Caenorhabditis elegans: one gene and its partners. The protein of the gene in region 1 purifies or fractionates together with the protein of each later gene. This does not show direct contact. Each region holds a gene or a part of one and is shown in the gene's direction. Other genes may lie near its edges. The genes, in order: rmd-1, sams-4 and acp-6.

Region 1 (3,531 bases):
TCTGAATAGGACTTTTCTTGAGATTAAATTTATAATTTCAAAGATAAAATAGTATTTAAGAGCGCCAACAACGCATCTGATATTAAAAATAAATACATAATCCGAAAAACAAACCATACTCTGTTCATTAAAAGTAGTGAAGTCACACAATAAATCACCTATACATTGAAAGAATAATTATCACACACAAAAGAAACAAGAAATGGGCACCCGGTTGAGCATGCAATACATAATAAAAATAAAATTGTACAATCGAATATGTTATGAAAATCTGATAATTTCAAGTGGCAGCACCAGACCATCCCGAGAAGTATGAAGACCACGAGCCTGCCTGAGCGGTTGCCATATGTGCTGAAAAAAATAAATTCGAAAAAAAGTTGAACGATTAATCCGTAAGTATTTAGTAGTGGAGGTAGTAAATTCTATTTTGGAAAATTTTCGAAAATAAATAAATTTTTCTGAAACGCCGATTTAAAGGCGCACCGATTTATTAATGCCGATGGGTAACACCGCGATAAAAAAGTTTATGGTAGCAGCCCAATTTTTGATTTTTTGAGACTTATTTCCGAAAATTGAGAATTGTTTTACTTGTTTTTAAAGTTGTTTTCGTCTTCTCCACCTAAATAACGCCCAACTAGTAAAAACACTAAACCTTCGCGATGTTGAAATACTTTGAGAAGGCGGGACAATACTTTTGTTGATATTGTTCAATATTATTGCCTCTCTTCCGCCAGCCGTTGGCTATTGCAGAGAAATAGTTGTCCACCACAATCTCTTTCAGCGCTTTCTCTATTCCTCTTTTATCTGTTTTATAGCCTGCTCTGGGTGCTCTCACCTGATGCAGCTTTCAGAATTTCGACTTCTTTCGGTGACAAATGTAGAACTCTCTGCAGTACGATAACCAGCTGGTCTCGTTCTGCGGGAACACTTTCTGGCTTGAGAAACTGTACAAATACGTTCTTCAAATATTCCATATTTTTCTCGTTTGACAACTCGGCTTCTCGCTTTTCTTCTCGTTCCAGTCGGCGAATTTCATCTTTTAGCAGTGAATTCTAGAAATTTAAATATTGATTCTAAAACTTTTCCCAATTCTACCTGAGTTGTTAACCTTCCATTTGCAGTCTCGGCATCACTGAGAAGCTCTGCGACGTGATGATTTGTTTTCTTCAAATTCTCTAACTGGTCTAGAATGACCTTGAATTTCTCCTCCGATAGTTCATCTGATTCGACTCCTGCAAGTATTTCGAAATAAGTAACTTTTTAGAAAACAATCTTATTTATATAAAATATAAAACTAACTGTATTCATCACCGAGATCTCCATACAAAACATCCTCCAGTGACCGATCAGGCTGAAAAAAAAAACAGGTTTTTAAAAAGTAGTTTTCGTAGGAATGACGAACTTTCTGAGGCGCGTGGCACAATATTTTTTATATTATTTATCACTTTTTCTCAATGTTTCTCCAGAAAATTCGGTTTTGATCTCTGAATGTTCATTTTTGTTTTGTTGCGCGCGCGCGCGCGAGAAATTGACCCGCGTGTTTTTCCAAATTTGTCGAATATAAAAGAAGCGTTTTTCAGTCATTATCTTCTCGTCTGATATCTTTTATTCGACTACTTCTACTAACATCCCCAAAAATGGTGAGTTTTTTTTTGCTTTTCACTTCAACATTTCTTTAAAAACCGGCTAATTTTCACTGAAATCTCCCAATTTTTTCAACTTTTCCGCGCCGCTGTGACTTTTCCTTGATTATTGTTTTATTTTGGTGGTTTATCTCTTGTGATGACGTTTATTTCGATGTTTTAGGCCAGTAATGTGGCCTAAATAATCTAAATCAACGAAATAATATGAGATTAGATTCAATCTCCAACCGCAGCGACACGGAAAAGTTGCTAAAATTAAAGTTTTAGGTGAAATTTGTCACTTGTCGAATAGAATAATTTTTTTGAGTAATCTCATTACGAAATTTAGCACGTTTTTAATTCAAAACCTTCTTTTAATCGATTAATTTCAATTTCTTTTATTTTCAGGAATCCTTTGCCACCTCGGACAAACTCTTTGAAAGCCGCGAGTTCGTCAAAGGACTCGAGGAGCTGAAAAAGCGACGTGAAGATGGCGAGATGACTTGTGATCTTCTCTGGAGAATGTGCCGCTTCTGCCACGAACTTTCGACGACGATGAGCGGAGAGCAGCGACGAAAGATGCTGATCGAAGGACGCGACTACGGATTGGAAGCCATGGATCTTGATCCATCAAGCTTCCTTGCCGCTAAATGGACTGCCATCATGTTCGGACTTGTTGTCGATCAACTGCCAACTAAGGAGAAGATCAATGACGGTGGACGGCTCAAGGACATGCTCGACAAGGCTCTCGAATTGGATCCAACCGACTTTGCTCTTCTCCATCTTCGTGCTCGCTTCTCTTACACCATCGCGAACCTTTCATGGCTTGAAAGAAAAGTGAGTTTCTTATAATCTTTTGTCTTGAATTCTTCCGAATAACACTCTAATTTCCAGGCAGCTTCAATGCTCTACAGCGAAGTTCCAAAAGCAACGATCGACGACGCTCTCGTCGACTTCAAAGCCGCCTACAACCAAAACGCTGATTGGATCGAGAATTTGCTGTTCCTGTCGAAATGTCATCTTGCCAAGAAGGAGAAGCAGCAAGCACGTGAGATGCTGAACAAGGCGATCGTCTTACCTGCCGCTTCATCGAATGATGCTCAATTCGTCACGGAGTGCAAGTCTCTTCTCCAAAAATGCTAATTCGATCTATTTGACTACGGTTTCTTATTGATTCCTGCCCCCCTCTCTCCCCAATTAACTTCATATTTTGCATCAATGAATTTTTCTGTAAATAAAGAATTTTTACCTGTGTTGGCTCATCATAACAAGAAACAGAATCAGAAGGAGCAACTGCTGGTCTTTGATAATGAAGAGGTGGAATAGGATGTTCTGGAAGCTGAATCGGCTGAGGTACGACAGCTGCAATAGCTTTCTGCTGCTGGTGTTGATTGCTTTGAATTCGACGAGTTTCAAAGTCATTTCTCAACTCTTGTAATTCCTTTTCTAGACTGTGAATCTGCTTTGTTGCACTTGACAGCTTGCTTTTCAGACTTCCATTCTCATTTTCACTTCTTTGCCTCTCATTCTGCAGAAGATGATCTACTTTTTCCTTTGCGATCTCTATATCTTTAATCTTTTGTTCAGCAGTATCACGAGATGATCTCATTAATCTCAATTCTTCGTCCAATCTTTGAATCAACTTCGAAGAGCTCGACTGAAGTTCGTCAATTGCCGTAGTGTGAGCCTTTTCTGATTCGGTGAGTTCTGATTTGAGAACTTTTAGAGTTTTCTCAAGTCTTTCTGCTTTGTCACGTGAAGAAGCCAAATCTTCGACAGTTTTAAAATGCTCCTGCCTTGTCTGATCAGCTTGTTGTTCAAGTTCTGTGATAGTGACTTTTGATTTTTCGAGTTTTTCAATAGCTTTTCGTGTTTCGTCTTCCTGCTTTCCTTTTTTCTCGAGCACAAA
Region 2 (3,755 bases), on another chromosome or scaffold:
AAACTAGAATTTAACAGCTGTCTCACGGATGGCGATAAATGTTCTAGATTAGATCTGTTTCGCTAATTAGAAACTGGAAATATCTGAAAGCTTTCCCCTATCATGAATAGATCGAAATAATCGAGATATGAGATTCCTAGATATCGGAATTAACAAGAAAAGTTACGGAAAAATATCGAATATCGTATTAATTGTTTTTTCTGCTTGATTAGGTTTAAAAAGGCTTTAAAATCCGTTTTTTTCAGTGAAAAATCACTGTTCTATTTGAGATATAATTTATTTTTCTATTTAACCCACGTGTTTGTTAAATACGATTAAACATTTTGGAAGTAGTTTCATCATTCTTACAGTTTCTCGATAATTGAGCAAAACACCATGACAAAAAGCAAGTGAGACTACAAACTTAAAAGTACAAGGCCAATTCTTATTTACCAAGTTGCTATTTGTTCTAAATTAGAACCTGTTTTCTTGATTCCTTTGCTTTTTAAAGTTTACATTACTGATAATGGCTACTATAATCCGTTCCTAAAGTCTAGAGTATTTGCTTTTTTCATGTTGTGGAAACTGAGCTTCTGCGCTTTTACAAAAGGGCAAAGTCTATTGATTTTCTGCAAATTGAATAGTTTCATGATCATATATCCATTAGCACAATTACACTGTTAGAGGAAATAAAAACAAATATGAATTTGAGGAGAGCGATGAAAATCGTATGATCAAACATAAAAAAGTATGTCAAAGTTTTGCAATAACTTTGTTCAGGCCGATTTTGCCCTCTCGACAGCTTTTTTTCTTGCAAACGATGTTCTGCACAATAGTATAGGCTGGGAATGATCTTGTTGCAATAATAATACTTTTAAAAAGAATTGAGTAAAAACGTGATAACATAGTGAACTCGGCTATATCCACACGTGAAAACGTGAAATTTTATCAAAATTTCTCGGAGTGCATAACATTAAAAAAAACATTGACCGTTTCATCGTCGAAGAGTGTAAGTGAGTTGTCTTTATCTGCTGAAGCTTTCAATAAGGTTCAGCGAGACTTCAATTCCGAAGATTTTTTGTCCGTGTTCCCGGTTCATCTGTACAATCTTCGAACGCATATTTCGAAAGTTTTAGACATTTATTTTTCTAGATTGTAAACGTCGCCTGTCTTGTTCTCTAAGACTTTTATATATTTTTCCTTATCTCGATTTATGTTCTTCAAAAATATGACAGTAAAACTTCCTCAGTGTTCTTATTTCTAAACATCGTATATTTATATAAATATTATTGTGGTGTTTCAAATAACACGTGTTTCATAATTCCTCATCCTTAGATAACGGTTTGCCCTTAGAATTGTTTTGATCCTTCTTTTTTCGAAAATTCTCGCTCCCTTTTTCTCTAAATCTCTGTAGTTTTCTGATGATCTAGGTTCAACCTTCATGGTATAAAAGTAGAGCTTTCCGGGCTAATATTCACACTTGTCTCGCAAAAAAATTGTGTTTTATTGCAATCTAAAAAACGCCCTCAAAACTATACTTTAGAGCAACGTGTTTCCAACAAGACGCAGAGTATTGTGTCTCTCTTTGTTGCGTGGCGCTCCGCCCTCTATTCAACCCACCTCCGCTTCCTCGCTTTCCTTTATTTATTTGAGCTAAATATCATCGCTCTTTCAGACGGACGCTTTCAAACATCCATCAACGAAATAAAATGCCGCAACACAAGTTCCTTTTCACCTCCGAATCTGTCTCCGAGGGGCATCCCGACAAGATGTGTGACCAAGTAAGTTATATTTGATAAGAAATCGTCTTTTCCAGATAAACAAATCCATCAAATTTTTTGATTGGAAATACGCTACTGTTGAAAAAAAAAATCTGTCAAGTTCGTAAAAAGTTAGTTATGGGACAAAATGTGTATAGTTTCAAACAAAACGTTATCTCCGAAGCGTAGAAAATTGGCCCACGTGCTCGAAAGCAGCTGTCTATCATTCTCATGTTTGTTTTTCAGATCTCGGACGCTGTTCTTGACGCTCATCTGGCTCAAGACCCTCACGCTAAGGTTGCTTGTGGTGAGTGATTCAGGACTTTTGGATATCCTCCAACGAAATGTCAACAACAACATGGAGCTGCGATGAGCAAAAGTCCCAATTATTATCCGTACAACATTCAGAGATTCGGCGATATGGAAGACAGGCGGTCAGATTCAATACACTCGCGTCGTGTTAACCTCAGAATTAACATGATATTGATATTTGTGTTGTGAATTTGATTTGCAGAAGGATCAACAGTGAACTCGTACCTATCACTGTGGTTCTTTTGCATTTCGCCTATTCATGTCTCTGATTTCAGGCTCTACGGGTGTTGGATGATGCGGGAAACGGGGCTGAAGCTTATCGCAACAATATGTTTCTTTACCTGTTACAACGGTTACTTTGATTACAGAAACGGTGACTAAAACGGGTATGATCATGTTGTGCGGTGAGATCACCTCGAAAGCTGTCGTCGACTACCAGGTTCTCGTCCGAAACGTCATTAAGAAAATTGGATACGATGATTCCTCGAAAGGTATGAAGAATATAATTTCGTTTCTACACTATTGGCTCATCACATTGTGTCAGGAATCTCATTTTCTTGGTTTATTGATTAAATACAGTATTCATTTTCAGGATTCGATTACAAGACATGCAATGTTCTTGTTGCACTCGAACAACAATCACCTGAAATCGCTGCTGGAGTCCACGTGGACAAGGATAGTGACGATGTCGGAGCCGGAGATCAAGGAATTATGTTTGGATATGCTACTGATGAAACCGAAGAAGCGATGCCATTGACTCTTCTCTTGTCTCACAAGCTGAACCGGAAGCTTCACGAGCTCCGTAGATCTGGAGAGCTCGAATGGGTTCGTCCGGACTCGAAGACCCAAGTCACAATCGAATATGCTTCGGAAGGAGGAGCATGTGTCCCACTACGCGTCCACACTGTTGTTATCTCCACCCAACATTCTCCAGATATCAGTCTCGATGATTTGAGAAAGGAACTCATCGAAAAGGTAATTAAAAATATTAATAAAAATACAGCTATATTTATTGTTCGGTTTTAGGTTATCAAAGCTGTAATTCCTGCCAATCTCATCGACGACAAGACCATCTATCATCTCAATCCATGTGGATCATTCATTATTGGAGGACCAATGGGAGATGCTGGACTTACTGGACGTAAGATCATCGTTGATACCTACGGAGGATGGGGAGCTCACGGAGGAGGTGCTTTCTCTGGAAAGGACCCAACCAAAGTCGATCGTTCTGCCGCATATGCTGCTCGTTGGGTTGCCAAGTCACTTGTCAAAGCTGGACTTTGCCGTCGTTGCCTTGTTCAAGTTTCATACGCCATCGGAGTTGCTAAGCCTCTTTCTGTGATGGTCTTTTCATTTGGAACTTCTGCTCTCAGCGAGGAGGATTTATTGACCATTGTGAATGATAACTTCGATCTGAGACCGGGAAAGATTATCAAGTAAGCGTTTTTTTTTATGTTTCACTATTTTTACTGTTTTCAGGAATCTTGACTTGAAGAGACCAATTTACGAGCCAACTGCTGAAAACGGACACTTTGGACACAATAATTTCCCATGGGAGCAGCCTCGAAACCTCAAAATCAGTGCAGATATGCTCGCCAAATCACAAGGACCAGCTCAACCTGACGTAATTGGAATTGCCCATTAAAATTCTGAGATTATTGTAATAATCAACTTGATAAAAGTGCTTGTAAGCCTTCTAGTAAT
Region 3 (3,755 bases), on another chromosome or scaffold:
ACAGATTCCTTTTAATGTTTTCATGGAACACAGGCACGTTTTCCTGCCTACATACATATGTGCCTACTACAATCTTCATCCCGTTTAGAGTGAACATTTCTGTTTGGACAAGGTAGATTTATTCAGATTTGAAGTACTATTCTTATTTTTAAAATTAAATCTTTAAAATTATTTCGTTAGAGATTAAACTGTGAGATGAAACTAATGGTTTACATGTTCTTGTGTATAGGCATGAGGCAGATGTAGGCTGCCTAGAAGAAATAATTTGTTTACTTGATTTTCAATATTTGTCAGTCGTTTCTAAACAACAGCCCTTCCCAATTTTAATACAATTATCCAATAATAAGTGTTTTTCATTAGCCCCTTTGTAATTTTAACCAAATTTTCTACAGTTTTCTACAGTAGTAATTCTTCCAATTAGCTTTTGGTGTAGCCCTTCCAGAAGGCACCAAAGATCCGAAAATTATGTTAGAGCCCTACGAACTCGCGAATGCCTCAATTAGCACAATGGAGCCATCGCGATAGGAACCCGGGAGGCATATATACTAGACAAATCCTACCGTATTCTCTGCAAACTTTACTTCAGCCTTCTGCTCATGAAGTCTCAAAAATTCTGTCTAATTGAAATTCAAATTGCCACGGCGCAATTCACGGTCATTTGAACTCACCTTGAACTCTCGCAGATTCTCGGAGAAAAACCGGAACTAAAGTTTTCTCGCGATCTTTGTGGTTTTGTGAAACAGAGAAAAAAAGAGTAATTGGTGTATTCAATTGGAAGAAATTGAATTGAAGATGAGATGGTGAAACATGGAGTTTTTGAGTTCAAATAAACAATTGATCTTCTTCATGTTTGTCTGTTTTCTATGTGTTTTGTGTATTTCATCTTTTTCTTTCATTCATTTAAAATTGTCTCATTTTCAATTCATTTCTCCCTTCCATGACAATTTCGAGGCCAAATTGAATTGAAGTTTGGTCGTACCTAACAGAGTATAAAAGAATGGCACAAAATGTTGAGAACGTACATCCAAACATCCTTTCTGTTTGTGATCTATATTTTTATCATGATATTTTGGTATTGTCACGTCTGGTCTCTTGTCACGGCCTTGAGAAATCCTTTAATGACAAGATCGTACTAGGTAGCATGTGATTTAGATTTACAGTACTCAAGTATTGCTATCCTAGGTACATAGATAGAAAAGTTAAAAGAATTATTTTTTGTAACTTGAAAAAAGGTAATTTTAAGATAAAGTTAGCATCTAGTGCTCGATCGGTTTCAGGATAGAAGTAAAATTTTGAAATTTTCTGTTAGTAACAGTTTCCAAAATGTGCCATGGATGCATGTTAAAGTAATTATTTTACAGCTTGAATTTAAAAATAGTGACTGATTTGTAGGCCCACTTCTATCGCGCCTGCCTTGTGCCTTTCAGTTGAACCTGACGAATACCAAAGTTGTACGGCAAGGGTTCGCAGATCATTGAGCACGCGGGAAGGTACGAGGCCGGCGCAGGCTTCTGAACTAACGTGATATTTCATTTGAGATTTTTTTAATAAAATTATTAGTTCCGTGTTTAATGGTTTCTCTATTAGACCAACAACTAACGGTTTTTTGTTCATTCTGTTTCAATGAAACGGTAACAAAACACCTGAAGATACTTTTTATTTCAAATCGGGTCATATCTTCTTTTAATTCAATTTTATTGAATTGTGTTCTGTCGTGTTATCTTATCAGTTTGTTATCGTTTCAAACAAAACAAAAACAGTATATAAACGCCGGGTAAGATGGAAGTTCACTGGCAATTCAGTGTTCTTGTGTAATTAACTGATTACCAGAATTTTAAATTTGTCTAGAAAAGCTCTCAGAATATGTATTTTTCAACCTGAATCTATCATTCTACAATCTCCTACCTTTTAGTCTAAACAGTAAATGCCTTCTTGCGGACCTGCAACGTTTGTGGAATAGGCATGTAGGTAGTCTAGTCATGAGAAGCTTTATCAGTTTTCATACTTCTTGGTTTGCTCTCATTAAAAAGTGATATGTTTCTTCAACTTTACCGTTGTATTTTACGCCACCTCAGACAAAGAAATTATATTTTCAGGTATGAACCTTCTACTATTTTCTGCCTTGATCTTGGCTACTTCAGCCGCCCATCTTCTCCCAAAGAAGTCTGTTGCAATTGATAAGAACTCGGTTCTTGTGCTGTTCGGAACTCGTCACGGAAACCGTCATCCAGAAGTTTTTCTCCAAGAGAATCCAAGAAGCTGGGGACATGAGGGAAATACTGAATTGACTTCAGTAAGTATTAATTATTGGAGTTTCTAAATGAAATCTAGTAATATTTCAGTTCGGAAAGCGTCAAGGACTTGGATTGGGAAAGGAATTGAGAAGCTTTATTGGAAATTTGATCTCTCGTAACTACAACTCATCTCAAGTTAAATATTACTCCAGTTCTGCCAACAGATGCCAAATGACTCTTCAGGTATGTGGCGAATTCCGAATTCAAAGTAAAATAATCAAAATTTATCTAACTATAAGTTGCCACATTGAAACAGTAAATTTTTAGACTGTCACTGCTGCTCTCCACGATCCAGAACAATGGGGGGATTGGGATAAGAAATGGTACGATCATTGGTCTCCAGTCCCATATGCCATTGATGATCCACTTCTTAGAATGTACGCTGTTAAGGAATGCAAAGGAAATGATAAGGGTACGGTTGTACTTGTATAATGTGAACATATAAATCCTGATTTTACAGTCTGGGGCCCAATCGACAAGGATTCCCTTCCATTCCTCAAGAAGCTCAAGACAAGCAACGCAGCTGAGCTCAAATACTTCTCTGACAACACCAAATGGAACATGGAGAATCTGGGAAAAGCTGCTGATTTGGCCGATAATCTCATTGAAATTGATCTCTACAAGGCTGAATATCCATCATGGATTAAGGCTCCAAAGTTGAAAGGATACACTTTCGAGAAGCTGAAGGCTAAGATTCTGGAATTTGCTGAAGTTCATCAGAACGCTTGTGCAGAGTACGGACCATGCGGAAACTTGATGGCTGGATATTGGCTTCAGAATTTGATTGATAAGGTTGCTGATGCTAACGCTGGAAAGGGACCACAAGTTATTGGATACGCTTCTGTAAGTTATTTACAACCTGTCAATATTAATGTGAAACCTCTATTTCCTGTGAAAAAATTATACAAATTTCAAATTCCAGCACACCGAAATCACTCTTTCCGTCATGAAATTGATGGGATACGTGAAGGATGAACTGACCACCTCCGCTGGATTCGTAGTTGAATTTAAACGTCTTCCAAAACCAGCTGTCCGTCTTCTCAACCATGATCCTAACCCAATCGATGATCATGTCATCTATCCAGCTGAACTTACTCCAAAACTTAAGAAATTGGCTGACAAGGATGGATTCATTCCATTGGAACAATTCTTCGCCTATGCAAAACAATTCGTAAGTTGGAAAAATAGGTTAGATTATTGTAACAAATTAACATTTTCAGTCCTTCTCCGATTGGAAGTCTCAATGCGACAAGGCTTAGATTCTTTGCATGAATTTATAATAATCGTTTGATTCGCTTCGTATGTACTAATGTAGTTACTTTTTAATAAATAATTCGAAAGTAATCAATGAAAATTGCAAAATAACGGAGAATGGGTTACTGTGCTCATTAAAGGGGTATACCTCGATTTGGAACTATTTTTGCGATGAAAATCGTTTTTTTTTCTATTTAAAAGATACGT

What was found.
Region 2: the proteins of rmd-1 (region 1) and sams-4 fractionate together in Caenorhabditis elegans (co-fractionation; one large-scale study listed by BioGRID). This does not show direct contact.
Region 3: the proteins of rmd-1 (region 1) and acp-6 fractionate together in Caenorhabditis elegans (co-fractionation; one large-scale study listed by BioGRID). This does not show direct contact.

Annotation. Positions count from the first base shown.
Region 1 is NC_003281.10:9,757,514-9,761,044, forward strand, and holds rmd-1 (Regulator of microtubule dynamics protein 1), read left to right. Parts: upstream 1-1,580; 5' UTR 1,581-1,637; coding exon 1,638-1,640; intron 1,641-2,030; coding exon 2,031-2,459; intron 2,460-2,516; coding exon 2,517-2,765; 3' UTR 2,766-2,871; downstream 2,872-3,531. Other genes in the region: vps-53 (Vacuolar protein sorting-associated protein 53 homolog), read right to left, coding at 1-1; gcc-2 (GRIP and coiled-coil domain-containing protein 2), read right to left, coding at 281-351, 836-1,052, 1,096-1,232, 1,300-1,351, 2,872-3,531. UniProt on the Caenorhabditis elegans protein: Acts in chromosome segregation and organization during mitosis.
Region 2 is NC_003282.8:5,844,269-5,848,023, reverse strand, and holds the start of sams-4 (putative S-adenosylmethionine synthase 4), read left to right. Parts: upstream 1-1,654; 5' UTR 1,655-1,688; coding exon 1,689-1,760; intron 1,761-1,985; coding exon 1,986-2,046; exon of another isoform or gene 2,047-2,419; coding exon 2,420-2,542; intron 2,543-2,643; coding exon 2,644-3,026; intron 3,027-3,077; coding exon 3,078-3,487; intron 3,488-3,530; coding exon 3,531-3,696; 3' UTR 3,697-3,755. UniProt on the Caenorhabditis elegans protein: Catalyzes the formation of S-adenosylmethionine from methionine and ATP. The reaction comprises two steps that are both catalyzed by the same enzyme: formation of S-adenosylmethionine (AdoMet) and triphosphate, and subsequent hydrolysis of the triphosphate.
Region 3 is NC_003282.8:6,424,481-6,428,235, reverse strand, and holds acp-6 (Histidine phosphatase family protein), read left to right. Parts: upstream 1-2,096; 5' UTR 2,097-2,098; coding exon 2,099-2,293; intron 2,294-2,342; coding exon 2,343-2,477; exon of another isoform or gene 2,478-2,547; intron 2,548-2,561; coding exon 2,562-2,706; intron 2,707-2,754; coding exon 2,755-3,137; intron 3,138-3,216; coding exon 3,217-3,465; intron 3,466-3,514; coding exon 3,515-3,553; 3' UTR 3,554-3,636; downstream 3,637-3,755.